Linked DNA regions of Notamacropus eugenii. The protein of the gene in region 1 interacts with the protein of each later gene in a pairwise test. Links are inferred from orthologs where the notes say so. Each region holds a gene or a part of one and is shown in the gene's direction. Other genes may lie near its edges.

Evidence for each region.
Region 2: the proteins of CCDC102B (region 1) and LMO4 interact in binary tests that used the Homo sapiens proteins (3 or more experiments, as listed by UniProt). The two-hybrid records come from large-scale screens. The link is inferred for Notamacropus eugenii from reciprocal best matches to the Homo sapiens genes CCDC102B and LMO4.

What each region holds. Positions count from the first base shown.
Region 1 is NC_092875.1:218,775,564-218,782,811, reverse strand, and holds the start of CCDC102B (coiled-coil domain-containing protein 102B), read left to right. Parts: upstream 1-4,193; 5' UTR 4,194-4,305; intron 4,306-7,248. UniProt on the Homo sapiens protein: During interphase, forms fibers at the proximal ends of centrioles to maintain centrosome cohesion. During mitosis, dissociates from the centrosome following phosphorylation to allow centrosome separation. Contributes to CROCC/rootletin filament formation.
Region 2 is NC_092873.1:497,021,295-497,028,569, forward strand, and holds the start of LMO4 (LIM domain transcription factor LMO4), read left to right. Parts: upstream 1-4,198; 5' UTR 4,199-4,334; intron 4,335-6,780; exon of another isoform or gene 6,781-6,934; intron 6,935-7,018; exon of another isoform or gene 7,019-7,188; intron 7,189-7,275. UniProt on the Homo sapiens protein: Transcription cofactor. Plays a role in establishing motor neuron identity, in concert with MNX1, acting, at least in part, to disrupt LDB1-LHX3 complexes thereby negatively modulating interneuron genes in motor neurons.

The sequences.
Region 1 (7,248 bases):
ACTATTTTCTAGTATGGATCTACTAGATCTAATAGTCAACATAAAAATATCTTAGAACAATTCCTCAATTAAATAATTCATTAAAGGTTGCAACAAAAGATTTTGAAAAGAATTTCAAATTATTAACAGCTAATTGAAAGAATTTAACAAATCCTTACCTCTCAGATTTATGGATAAGAGCAGAATTTGTGACCAAACAAGAAATAGAGAACATTATGGTTTATAAAATGGATAATTTTGATTACACTAAATTAAAAAGGTTTTGTACAAACAAAAACTAATGCAGATGATTAAAAGGAAATCAGAAAATGGAAAAAATTATATATAACAAGTTTCTCTGATAAAGATCTCATTTCTCAAATGTAAAGAGAACTTAGCCAAATTTATAAGAATACAAGTCATTCACAAATTGATAAATGGTCAAAGAATATGATGAGGTGACTTTTAGTTGAAGAAATCAAAGCTATCTATGTCAAGTGAAAAGATATTCTAAATCACTATTGATTAGAGAAATGCAAATTAAAACAACTCTGAGGTACCACCTTACACCTATCAGATTGGCTAATATGATAGAGAAGGAAAATTATAAATGTTTGAGATGATATGGGAAAATGAGGGCAGTAATTAGTGTTAGTGGAGTTGTAAATTGATCCAACCATTTTTGGAGAGCAATTTGAAACTATTTGCAAATTGCTATTAAACTGCCCATATTCTTTGATCCATCAATACTACAACTAGATCTGTACCTAAAAGAGACTTTTATGAAAAGTAAAAGGACCTATGTGTATAAAAATATTGTTGCTCTTTTTATAGTGACAAAGAATTGGAAATTGAGGTGAAACCCATCAATTGGGGAATGACTGAATAAGTTGTAGTATACGGTTGCACTAGGAATACTATTGTCATATAAGAAATAATGAGCAGGATCCTTTAAAAAAACCTGGAAAGATTTTCATGCACAATGAAGTGAGCAAAATCAGGAGAACATTGTACACAGCAACAGTAATATTGTGTCAATAGTTGTAAAAGATTTAGCTACTCTCAGCATTACAAAGATCCAAGAAAATTCTGCTAGACTTGTGATAGAAAATGCTATCCACCTCCAAAGAAAGAACCGATGGAGTCTGAATGTGGATTGAAACGTACTATATCAAAGCATATTTAAATTGTGTTTTCTTTTTTTTTTTTGAGTTTATGTTTTCTTTTACAACATGACTAATATGAGAATATGTTTTTCATGACTGGACATGTATAACCCATATCAAATTGTTTGTTGTCTCAGACGGATTGGAGGGGAGGAAGGAAGAATGTGAAAGCATCTGGAACTCAAAATTTTAAAAAATGTCAAAAATGATTTCTACATGCATTGGAAAAAATAAAATATTAAACAAATAAAAAAGACTAACAAATCAGTAATAATGATAGGAATAAAAATCAAAGAATTTTAAGAATTAAACATAGCTGGCAAACTGGAGAAGATTACAAAAGATAGAGGGTCTGAAAAAATACAGGCACACTAAAGTAAAATTGTTAATTGATGTTATCTTTCTGGAATCCTATCAGGAACTATACTAAAAAGTGATTAATGTGTCCATATGTGCTTTGGCCCATATATGCTATGACAGTATAAAAAGCATATACCAGGGAAATTGATGTATGAAGATAGATCATTTATATACCAAAAAAAAAAAAAAAAAAAAAAAAAGCAAACCACAGCAGCATTCTTTTAGAAAGGAAGAATTAGCAAAAAAGTGGGAGCTCATAGATTGTGCTTCGCACAAAAATCACTCAATAAATGCTTGGAGAGGTGGAGGAACATGAATGTGCAGTGTTTCATATAATGCTAAACTTTGTTGATATATTGGTTTCTTTGGTTAAACTACTTTTCTTTGCTTTTTTAAGTGTTTATTATAATATGTGGTTTACTGGGTGGGGAGAGTGAGTAATATATTTAGAAATAGATTTGAAGCTAAAGACAAAAGTCATCAATAGAAATAACTTTTTAAAAAATTAGGTGTGAAATGTTTTGTGGGCTTAATGATTCTATGATTCATTTTGAATTCATTCATTCATTCATTACACATCTTTTCAATACCTACAATTGCAGTGAGTATTTATGTAGCATTTCACAATTTACAATATATGCTTTCCTTACAAAAACTTCATTGAACAGAAGGTTCTGTAAATATAATTAACTCCATTTTATAGATCAGGAAACTGAGCCTTAGGTGAATATATGATTTGCTCAAGGCTATGGAACAATGTAATGGTGGAATGGGATTTAAAATTAGATCACCTAAATCTGGTCCTGTTTTGAGAGAGAGAGAGAGAGAGAGAGAGAGAGAGAGAGAGAGAGAGAGAGAGAGAGAGAGAGAGAGAGAGAGACAGAGAGAGAGAGAGAGAGAAAGAGGGAGGGAGAGAGGAAGGGAGGGAGAGAGAGAGCGCACGCAAAGACAGAAACAGAGACAGAGACAGAATGAGAATGATATAGACAGATCGACTTCAAGGTCATATGATTAGCAAAATGGAGGAGCAGACGCAATCTCTGATTCTCATAATCTTTCTAACCTTTCAGAAATAGGAATTATGAGTAAGAGAGAACACCAAGAACTCAAATGAGGTAAAAATTCAGTGAATTAAATCTAAGAAGTTCTAGACGCTAACAAATTTCAGTTAGCATATGTTCCCCACCCACCCTCTAGTAGCAGAGTTGTACAAGTCAACCAATAGACTTGAAGCAGAGCTCAATTATATACCCTCCCCACATGTCCATGAGTGGTTTAAAAGAGAAATAAAAATTGTAAAAGAATTTATGTCCTATACAGCAGAGATAATTAACAAAATAGAAAAATTTGAATTCACAGTGACACATATCAACACAGAAACTAGAGAGGATAACTGATTGGGAATGTAACTACATGATAGTGAAGGACAATCTAGAAGACAAGCAAAAAGCAATAATATTAAAGTAATGCTATTATTGAAATGAAAAGAAAGTATGATCTCCATATAAGCAAAACATTGATCTGGAAGATAGGGTGCATAGAGCCAAACAAAAATTGACAGAGCTCTCAGAAGAACTTGAGTCAAAAAACCTGTTCTGCTGCTAGAAAAAAAAGCAGAAGGGAAAGATGATAAGGATTTGAAAAGCAAAATAGGTGTTTCTTTTTGTTCTTAGAGCAATTGTGAGTTGTCTTTGTTGTGGAGTCTGTGATACATCCAGTAGGATCTAATTCTGGCTTTCCATACAATGGGAATCTTGTAGCTGTTTCTTTCTCAACTTTTCATATGACCAGGACAGTATAATTAGTAGCCTATTGGGTACATATCTGATTTGAATTACTGCCACCAGAGGATGCAGATAACATCACATTATTTAATAACAAAGATTAATCCTCTAAACCAAAGGGAGAGAAAATACAAATAATTGAAGGAAAATTTTTTTTTCCTGTTATATGATGTTTTTGTCATTTAGTTTTCCTCTGGACAATTTGAAATGTTAGAGTTAACCTTTGAAATATTTTTTTTACTTGCATCCCTAAAGGGATAAAACATCACCACTCCCTCAGTGGATCTTGACAGCTGAGTCATGTCAATGGAAAGTCACTCAGATAAACCACTGAGATTCAGAGCCAAAATTCTCTCACTGGGGGGTCCTTGACTTGGAAACTCAGAATTCTTATCAGTCTGACTGAGATCAAGTGTTCTGACAGAGATCTTGAACTGTGATTTATTTACCAGAACATTTCGTTAAATTTACTGCGTTTCTTTTACAAAACAAGTTACAGTGATATACTGAATACTGCAGATATTTTTCTATTGTTAATTATAACAAAGGATGTTTATGCCTTGCCTTTGCAGATTTGTTCATTAGTAGTTTTTCTTTTGGCATTTTTGTTGCATTTAAAATAGTGACTGGCTGAATATAATGACATGAAAATAAGTAGAAAACTTGCTAATGAGACACTATGTTTAGATTTCCTGATATGTTCATAGTATATAGTTTGAAAAGGTAGGGAAGGAAAGCTTAGGAAACTCACGTTTAGTTTGGGGACAGTAGAAAAAGAATTTATTTTGGTTAGCTAAGTTGAAATCCAAAGAGTCTGTTGTGGTATTGGCTTTGATAAAGCTTCACAACCAATGGGAATCCTTTCTGAGTTAGTGTGGAGTGGCCTTAATGCTGGATATAATCCTGTTGGCCAAGACCCCAGAGCTGTACAGATGAGGAAAGGATGCAGGAAATTCAGTTGTTTACACATGTGTCTGTAACACTGAGAAGCAAGAGCAGCCCAGCAAGTCCAGAGGGTAAGAGTGTTTAATAACCTTGTGGTTTTTCTATTTAATTTTTATACTTTCCTGCTGGGGTAGAGCATGAGTTGTTCTCTGAGCAAGGGAAAAAGTAGTTGGTTATAAGACACAGAGCAAGACTACTGTGGGTCTGTGAAACGGAAGAAACAGACGTATTTGGAGTTTCTTGCTAAGTTGGATGTATTTTTCCCATTCTTTTTTCATTTTTCCACTATTAGTACTGTTTATCTTGACAGCATATATATTTCCTGTGTTTAAAATATTTGTATAGTTATCATAACCAGGTAAGGTTTTAGCATGCAAATATAGATAGTAACTGAAGATATTACTTTACAGACTTTGGTAGTAAAAGATGAAAATGAAATACCAGAAATGTTGGCTTTATTTTATGCTATAAGAAGTAAAAAAGGTAACATTGCTTATCAAAACTATAGATTTATGCTTCATGCACTTGAAGTCCTTTGGAAATGTCTAGAGCTTTTGTTGAATTCCTGTAATTGTTGACAGGAAGTCCTGTGATCAAAAGAGATATGTTACATTTCAGAGCAACCACAAGTGATCTGAATTTCCTTATGGAAAATACAGGATTCCATTGTAGAAGAGAGAGGGACAGAGAATAAAGGTTAATACATAGACATACTAAGGGAATGGAAAATATAACTACACAGAGAAGTAATGCTATGTCTCGACAACAACAACAAAAATTCTTTCTTTGACAACTTGAGAGATTTACTTTTTCTGTTACTTTAAAAAAAAGATCATAATTTTGATTACCTGTGAATGTGAAGTAGGTTTGGCAAATAGAAAGGAAATTCCTAAAATCATGATTAGCTACTGGATAAATGTAAGTAACAGATGGCTTTCAAAAACTTAATCCTTCTATTTTATCTCTCTAGCCACTCTCACACCAATTCTGATTTTTTCACCTCTCTAAATCAGCTCACATATCAGATTTTATAATCTTTCTTTGGGGACAGGGCATTTCAATTTCTAGTTAAATTTTGACGAACATATCAGAATTCAAAGGATTAGATCAAAGGATTGTTGATCCCAGGATAGTTGCTTTAGAACATAGTAGAAAAAAGTTTTTTTTTTTTTTTTCACGTAAGTAAATCACCATACTTTTACAGCCAACAGAAGATCTTAGTTTGGAAAAAAATTATTCCTATACTATTATTCTTACCCATACATTTTCAATGACAACATTAAATTTAAGAGAATATCCTTTAATATAGTACCAATGCAGTTTTCCCATGCTTTTATATTGTTGATTAGAAAGTAAAAATATTTATTTTGAAAATCAGGGGAAGAATGTACACCATTCTCTTAAAATTGTTTATTTCCAAACATCTCTAGAGATTATCCTGCTGTGTAATAGCAAACCATTTCATTGATTATATTTTTACTTTCTCTATAAATATTGGTTGGATTCAGTCCTGAGATGAAGATGCTATTAAATATTCTTTATGATGTTTATATATTGTTTTTAGAGCCCCAAAAGACAATAGTGGCATTTCCCCCAATTATGTCATGCAAGCATGGATCTACTCTTTATACAAGAGCATGGGATTTTCCATGTAGATGTCACTTATGTCAATTGAATTCCACATTTAATTTTTCACTAGTTTCCAAAATAGGACAAAGATAGATATGGGTTTATATCCTGATTCCACTGGGGACAAACTATATCTTCTGTTACTCATTTAACTTCTTCTGAACAGTGGTGATTTTGTTTTTCATATTCACATTAGTTGCTTCTGTAATCTTTCAGTCTTTTCTCCCTTTCAATACCTTAAAATTTTTTTTTTTGTCATTCTGTACTCAAGAAATATGCATACTTTTACAGAGAACAATAAAAAAGAACTATATATGAAACTAAAACGTAATCATATTCGTTTCTCTGTGCCTTCTCTTTAAGGATTCATTGATATCCCCTCTTTTTTGGGGGGCAGGAGTGGTCAGGAGAGGAGAGATTCAAATTTTTCTCCACTTCCCAAAAACAACCTCTGCCTTTAACAAGTTAGTGTGGTCAAATAAAACAAATGTACCCATTGGTCATAGCTGAAAATTTATGTCACATTCTTATATCTCTAGTCCATAACCATTCCTTCAAGAGCTGGGAAGAATATTTCAACACTGGTCTTCTGAGGCTGTGGTTGGACATGACATTAACCCGGATTCTTATGTCTTTCAAAATTATCTTTCCTCCAGTGTTAGCCTCTTTATATCAATTATTTTCTTGGCTCTGTTTACTTCACTGTATTAGGAGAGGCATATCTTCCCAGATTTTTCTGAATCCATCCTTCTCATTATTTCTTATAGCCCAATAGTACTCCATTAATCCAGATACCATCATTTGTATGGCCATTTTCCATTGAATGGACAAATCATTTATTTTCAGTTCTTTGCTACAAAAAAGGGCTACTCTGAATATTTTTTTATATATGTGGATCCTGCAGCATGGTACAATGGTTCCAAATCAGAGGATCTGGGTTCAAATCTTACTGCTAGTATTTCCTTGGGCAAATCATTACACTTTTCTGGGTGTTAGTTCCCTCATCTATAAAATGAGGGAGTTGGATTAGATAGCTTCTGAATTTGCTTTCATATCTTGCTCTTTGATCCCTTTCTTTTATGTCTTTGGGATATATGCCTAGTAGTGAAATCATTCAGTCAAAGGTATACATAATTTAGTGGCTTTGTGGGTATAATTCCAAATTATTTTCTAAAATGGTCAGGGCAAAAAGCTGCCAAAAGTAGATTAGTCTGCTTGTTCTCTCATATCCTCCCTAATAATTTTCATTTTTCTTTTTTTGTCATTGCAGCCAAGAAGGTATAACCTCATAGTAATTTTAACTTGCATTCTTTTTACTATTTGTGATTTTTCCATATAGTTGATAGAAATTTTTTCTTCATTTAACAACTCTCTGTCCATACACT
Region 2 (7,275 bases), on another chromosome or scaffold:
AAAGGAGGTATCATCCTGACTTACATGCATTGATGATGCATAATTACTTTTATGCTGTCAAATAAGTGTGGTTCTGTTCATGCAAGATATCTTTCCCCAGAACCAATGACTTCTATATAGCTTAGTCTTAGACTAACTGACTTACTTGCTCATGGTCCAATTTTTAATAAACATGTAAGGCAGGACTGGAACCCAGGGCTTCCTAACTGTAGATCTAGCATTTTATCTACTATGCCAGACTACCTCTCAATTATTTAATAACTTATAAAAAATAATAATTTATATCATAATTAATACTATAATCATTGAAATAAATTGTAATTCTTTAGATTATAATTAATTTAATAAATGAATTAGATCTATAGATATTATTGTTGTAGATATTATTTTCCATCATTTTGAATTTTGAGATTTCCTCATAGATAAACCTTCCCTGCTTTGAAAGAACAACACTTCTGTGTGTATGTGTGTTTAATTTTTCTGCAGCATCACTAAGAAAAATAGCCAGAAAGGCCTTTCAGATTCTAAACCTTTATAGCTCCTCTAGAATAGATCAGAAAGTCCATGTGAAGGCTAAACCTGCAGAAATAAAGATTACCCAGAGGTGGCGCTCTGGTTAAAGTACACCTGGATTTTGATTACCGTGTACTGATTTACTCCAGATGCCTCTGAAGAGACATCGTTAACCATTATCTCTTTTGTATTTATGCAACCACAACCTCAGCAAACAAACATCGCTGGTAAAAACACTTCCCTCCACATGGTCGGTGAAGATATTACTCCTCAGACCAGAGGGTTTGAACATCCTTTAATCCAGGAGCAAACCAGGAGGCCTCTTTTAGCTTGCTTGAAGAATCACAGAAGAATCCACATCTACATGGGCCTTGCCAGTAGCCTAGCTTGCCCTTAGCCCTGGATAGGACTAGCTTCATTCTCACCTCGATGAAGGGCATTTTGCTTGAGAAATATACCTGAAATGTGCTTTTCATTATAGGCCTAAATTTAATTGTACCCCCCATCATGAACTGGTGTTATTTCACTTTTATGCTGGTAAATTATTTACATGGGAAAAATTGAGTTAAGAAATTAAGATCTGCTACTTCGATGTGCATAGAATTCTCTCTTCTGTTTGGTTTTGTCTGAGCCTTCTCATAATCAGATAATCACAGACTGAGTGGAGGTTTTGGTTTGGAGATTTTAAGGCGCTGTCTTATATTTCTACACTATTGAATCCTTTAAGATCACATTCCTATCTGTCATAACCATGGCAGAGTGAACCATGGCAAGACCTGGCCTCACTGTCCCACCTCTGACGCATACTGGCTATGTAAGCCTATCCAAGTTCCTCCAATTTCTGTATATAGATTTTAATGTATTGTCTTGTCTCATTACAATGTGAACTTTTTGAGGGCAGGGACCAAGCATTTGCATTTCTTTCTATTCTGAGCACTTAACTTAGCACAGTGCCAGGCACATAGTAAGCTCTTAATAAATGTTTGTTAACTGATGGACTAACTTCTTCCTCTTGTAAGAGTGTCAATTACAGAGAGGTTGCGAACCTGAGGGAATTCCTTAGTACAGTTCCAACCCAAAGTGAAAGAATTAAGAATATTACAAGTTTTGATACTGATGGACAAATTTCAGCATTGTGATATTTTAAGTTAATTGAAGAATGTTAATTTAGATATCTAGCAGAACATTCTGTATACTTTGCAATATACTACAATGCAAAGTATGCCAGATGGGGATTCTTAGGACCTGAGTGTGAATTCTGACTCCAACCTTCACGGTGCATGGTTTGGAGCACTTTTCTGGGTCTCAGACTCCTCATCTCTAAAATGAAAAAGTTGAACCAAATAACTTCCCCTTTAGCTCGAAATGTTGGATACTGAAGTTGTTTATTTTAAACCATTTTCTGCTATTTTGGGTGCATAGTCACCATTCAGATATTATTGCTATTTCTTTGAAAGCCTGAATTTTGAAAATCTGTAAAACTTGCAGACAGTAAAATCACAGCCTGTGAAGAGGGAGCCCTTCTAACTGGGTTCTTTGGCCAGTCTTCTTGTCTTCTCATCAGCACAGAGTATGGAAGAGATAAATTTATCCCACAGGGCTGATTTCATTCCATTTCCTTAAAAGGATGATAAGAGGTTATAGTCCAAAGGGAAATTACCATCACCTAGTCCTATCAGAAACTGAGATACAGAGAGGTTAAGAGGCCTTGTCTACTATCACTTAAGAACTGTAGGCTCAGGAGTCAGACCCAGTTGTCTGACACCAAGGCCCAGACTCATCTACTAAACCGCAGCTACCAAAAGGCCTTTGTCCTTGCACAGCTATTTTCCAGGACCATCCCTCCATAACTTTCTACTAACAATTAGACCTAATATTGGCCCAGCAAATAGGACTTTTATTACCTCATTTGCAGCTTAAAGTTGAATCCTGAGTTGAAACTTTAGAAGCTGACAGCAGGAGGTAGAGGGAAGAGAGACCCACTTGCAGGTTCTTTGACTGTGGGTGTTCCTGGGCTCTAACATGCTGAGAACATTGCCTCCAAACATATGATTTACGTTGAAAGTGAGCTTCCTTATTCTCCAAAGCATGCATGATTGCTAATCTGGCCTTATTGTTCAAAACTTTGCTTCTGGATGCCTGGGAGAAATGGGTTCCTCTTCTCCTCAGAGCAAGCTGACAAAGGAGGGCATGCCCAGTTAACGCCTCCATCAGATTTCTTCAGCTTTGTCTATGAGCCCAGGATCATCACTGAGTGTTCCCTGAGAGTCTACTAAGTGCGTTGGTTTATGTCTCGGTCAAGGGAGATTAAAAAAAAAGTCTCCCCTCTGAAAATTTCGCAGGGAAAAGCAAGATGATTGCTGTTTTCCCCCCATTAACAAAACTTCCCTTTAAGTTTCTGAACCCCAAACATCAGAGCTAACAACTTTGTGAGTGTGTGTGTGTGTGTGTGTGTGTGTGTGAACCCCACCCGTCCCTTGCTCCTGGGACAACAGCAAAACTGCTGGATTGGAACTTGAGGACGCCCCCTTCACCCATTTAGGGGGGTACGGGAGTGTCTTCTGTGAGAGATGCCAAAGTTTTCCCAGGGCCTAGACTGGGGATGTCCCCGAAATCCTTGAGAACTAGGAAGCGTCCCTGGCTCGGACACGCAAGGGAGAGTCCTGCGGAGGCAGGGGCAGCGGCGGGCAGCAGCGGGGGTCCCTGCGGGCTGCCGCCGCCGTGCTTCCCCACCTGCCGCTGCCCTCTCCTTTCCCCCAGGTTCCCTCCACTTCTTTTCCTCCTCTCCCTCTTTCCTCCCTCCCCCCCGCCTCCGGTTTCAGTCATCCCTTTGTCCTCCCCCGGATTGGCAGGTTTTATTATTCCGCCTGAACAATCCGGCCGCGCAGTGGCTGAGGGCCGCTGACGTCGGCGGCTGAGCTGGAGAGTAGTTGGGATTCTGCTCTGTCAGTAACACATGTGTAAGAGCCGCGGAGGGAGAGCGCGAGCGGGCGAGAGGCCAGCGCCGCCTTGGAGCCGGGCAGCGGCGGCGGCAGCAGCGGCAGCGCGGACAGCGGCAGCAGCCCGGCCTCGACCCGGCTGTCGGGCTTGGCCCCGGCTCCGCTCGCGCCGCAGCCCGTGCTGGCACTCCTGCGGAAGGCTGCTCTGAGTGGCCTGGAGGGACTCCGCCTGCCCGCCCGCCCAGCGCCCAGCGCCCGCCCGGGCTCTCGTTGTTTCCGCTGCTGCCGCCGCCGCCGCTTTCTGGATCTCAGCAATCGCCGCCGCCTCCGCCAGACCAGAGCGAGCGAGGGAGGGAAGGAAGGAGGAGGAGAAGGAGGAGGAGGAAGGGGGGGCCGGGAGGGCGGGGGGGGGGGTGCCGAATATACAAAGTGAAGCCACATTGCCAAACTTGCAGCAGCGACTGCAGCAGTCGCCGCCGCCGCGCCTGAAGCCGAGCTGCTCGCGGGGCCCGAGAGCCAGCCAGCCAGCCAGCCTTGCAGCTGCTCGGGCGAAGCTGGAGGAGGAGGAGAGAGAGAAGGACTGAGACGGAACCCTCCGCTCCGGGGCCGGGCGGCCACTTCGCTGGGGGGCACCCGACCCACCAATAGAGCCGCGCATTAAAAAAAAAGAAAGAAAGAAAAAAGATTACCTTGTCCCACCCCTCCTCCTCCCCCCTCCACTCCACTTCTGCAAGAACTCGCTCCCTCCCTCCCTCCTCCTTCCTCCCATCCATCTATCCATCCAGCTCCATCAGTCCAGCAGCCCGGGGAAGCCGAGCGAGCGGCTCCGCGGAGATCTCGCCGCCGCCGCCGCCGTCTTTTTGCAATATAGGGGAAAAACAGGTAAGCGGACTTGCTGGGGAGAGGAGATGGGGCGGGAGGTGGGGGGGAGGGCTGGGGGTTGGTGGTGCTGGTGGCCCGGAGACCGGGAAGGGGGGGAGGTGTCCTGTACCGTGGTTGTTTTCTTTGGCTGCTTTCCCTTCCCCGTCCCAAATTGCAAGTAAACAATACGTCGGCTTAGATAATGAGGGAGTCTGAAACTAGAGGAAGGCAGGCTGGGGGGCGGGCTGGCAGGCGGGTGGACCGAGCAGGAGGCCGGCAGGCCGGCAGGCAGGCGAGCACCAGGGCCGTCAGCTTTGTAGCGGTCCCTGCTTACAAAAGGGTTTGTTCGAAGAGGAGGGCTTGGGGGGGGAAGGGGGGGAGCGCCTTTCCAGCCCAGAAGTGAAAGGCTTTGCCTGTTTCGGTTATGAATTGAGGTGGGGAAAAATAGTCTTGCCTCCCTCCTCCCCCAACCCCCCTTCGCCCCCCAGTAAACACTATTTTTGAAACAGTGGCAGAAAGGATCAAAGTGGGCAGGGTTTTTGTATTGGTGTCTTTTTTTTTAAAGAAAAAAATTCCTTTTGGCTTATAAGTCTTTTGTTTCAATCCAGGAGAAATCCGGTGAATCACCTAATTAAAATCAAGACATGAATTAAGCATCCATTTTTGTACTACAAATTGCCAGCCCTACGCCTGTCCCTCCCTTGGTCTCCATTAAAAAACACCAGAGACGTTGTTAAAGGGGGGCTTATTTTGCCTCTAGCTGCCAGTTCTGCTTTCTGTTTCACTGACTCTATCCCAGGACCTAAATTGCTCGGCTATGTAATTACTAGAATATAAGCCTATTTAACTTAAAAGCTTTTCTTTTTTTTTTTCCAACTCTAAATGAAACTTGATGAGGGCCCGTCCTTAGTTATCTGGGGAGTCAGTTTCTGGTCAGTCCTTGATTCATCATCTCTTTTAGATTTAATCAGCATTAAGGTATTGCTTGTCCTTAAGAGCTTTAGCTAATGGGGTTACTGGATGCTTCTGCTCAGTGTAATGTTTCCTTTAAAAAATTATATATGTACATACACATATGTAATACACACATTATAGAGAATATACACACATACATACACATATATTTACATACATATGTTTACTTCACAGCAAAGATTCAGGATAAGCAGCATGGAATCTCTCCCCGTCTCTCTGTCTCTGTCTCTGTCTCTGTCTCTGTCTCTCTCTCTCTTCTCTCCCCCTCTCCCCCCCGCCCCCCTTTTAAAGGAATTCAAAGCGATTAGAACGTAAAGGGAAACATTTTTAAGACTCTGGGCAGGAAATGCAGATTCATTTGGGTTAGGGCTGAAATTGTAACAAAAAGCAATTCCTCGAGTAAATGCATCAGATAAATCAATTTACATAAAGGTATGATGCATTCGGATAAATGCAATGCTAATGGGTTTTAGAGTGGTCCTGTTTCCAAAGTCTCGGGGTTTTGTTACAGCTTAATTGGTGGAGTTCTTTTTCTGGTTTATTGTGTGGTCACTAGAGACACGTTCAGGGACGCTTTCGGAGGAAATGTGTTTAAAAATCGGCCTATTTTAGGAACCCGGGGACTTGGGGCTTGGTGCCCTCCCCTCTTGCCAGCTACCAAGTTGGGCCAGGGGCAGGCAAAAAAAAGTTCGCCGTCTTTCTTCGGAGGTATCAGTCTGAATGCCTTTAGGAGATGGCCCAAAGCCTTGGTATGAGTACACACACTCGGCTTACAAAGGACAAAGACAAAAACATGCTGCTTAATTGGCAGTAAATAACTTGATCTTTTTATAGTATAAGTGACTGGAGGAACACTAGGAGTTTATTGGACTCGGGATCGGAGGCCACAAATTAATCGGTTTAGTCTAAGCTTTATAAATTGATTCCTATATTATTCCCCCAGTTGCTGCCTCTCTTGTGGCATTCATTTAGAAAGTGTGGGGGAATTTTTTTAAAAGCAGTTTTTGGTGACAGCCTGGCTAGCTCGAATTTAACTAGTGTATCCCTTGATCGTTCTCAGATTATCCCCAAAGTTCTTCCCTCCTCCTCCTTCTCTCCCTACCCCCCCCCTTTTTTTTATGGAACAAAGCTTTAGCATTTAAATTACTGATCAAGGGCAGATTAGCGAGACAAAAGTGGAGTGTGTTTGTATAGGAAGTTAACAGGCGTCCTAAAGTTCAATGATCTATTATTCTGGCCGGTGTCCTGAAAACCCAGAGAAAACACTCATTGATCTTCAGAATGAAATGAGATTTGGAACAATAATGGGAGATGGCCGTCACCACAATGGCATGTGAAAGGTGCTGTTTAAAAAATCCGAAAAACCAGTTTCGCAACTTTACACACTGCACTGTTTCCCTCTCTCTCCCTTTCCCCCCACTCCCATCCTCCATCCCCCTTTCCCCTCCCACCCCCACTCCTTCTATTTCCCTCTGCTCCCTCTCTCTCTCCCTCCCTCTCAGGAAACTGAAGTGTTCCCAACTTGAGCTCCAGCTGCACTTCCCAGAGTTGGGCATGATATAGGGGTAGGGGGCTGCGGGGGGTGGGAAGCCTGGGCTCGGCCCACTGCTGCTGCTCGTCCTCCTGCCTCCGCTGCTGGGGCTGGGGTAAATGACCCTCATTTGCTAGAGGCTAGATGCGTGCCGAGGTGGGGGTGGGGGGAGATAGGCGGAGGCTGGGGGCGGGGAGTTGAGAGTGGGTGGGTGGGAAGGAGGGAATCGCACTGCAGAGCCTCTCTCGCTAGAAGACTTTGACAGTCGCCAAGCTGAAGTTGTCAGTGTGGGCTGCTCAGCAAAGTTCCGAGGGAGCCTCTTGGATTCGGAACCGAGCCCTGAGAACAGTGCTTTGGAAAGAGGGTCTGGTTTGTGCCCCTTCCTTCTTTGCCCTATACCACTGACCTTACCTCCCCAGCCTGTCCCCTACTCAGCAGCAGCCCTTTGGGGGAAGC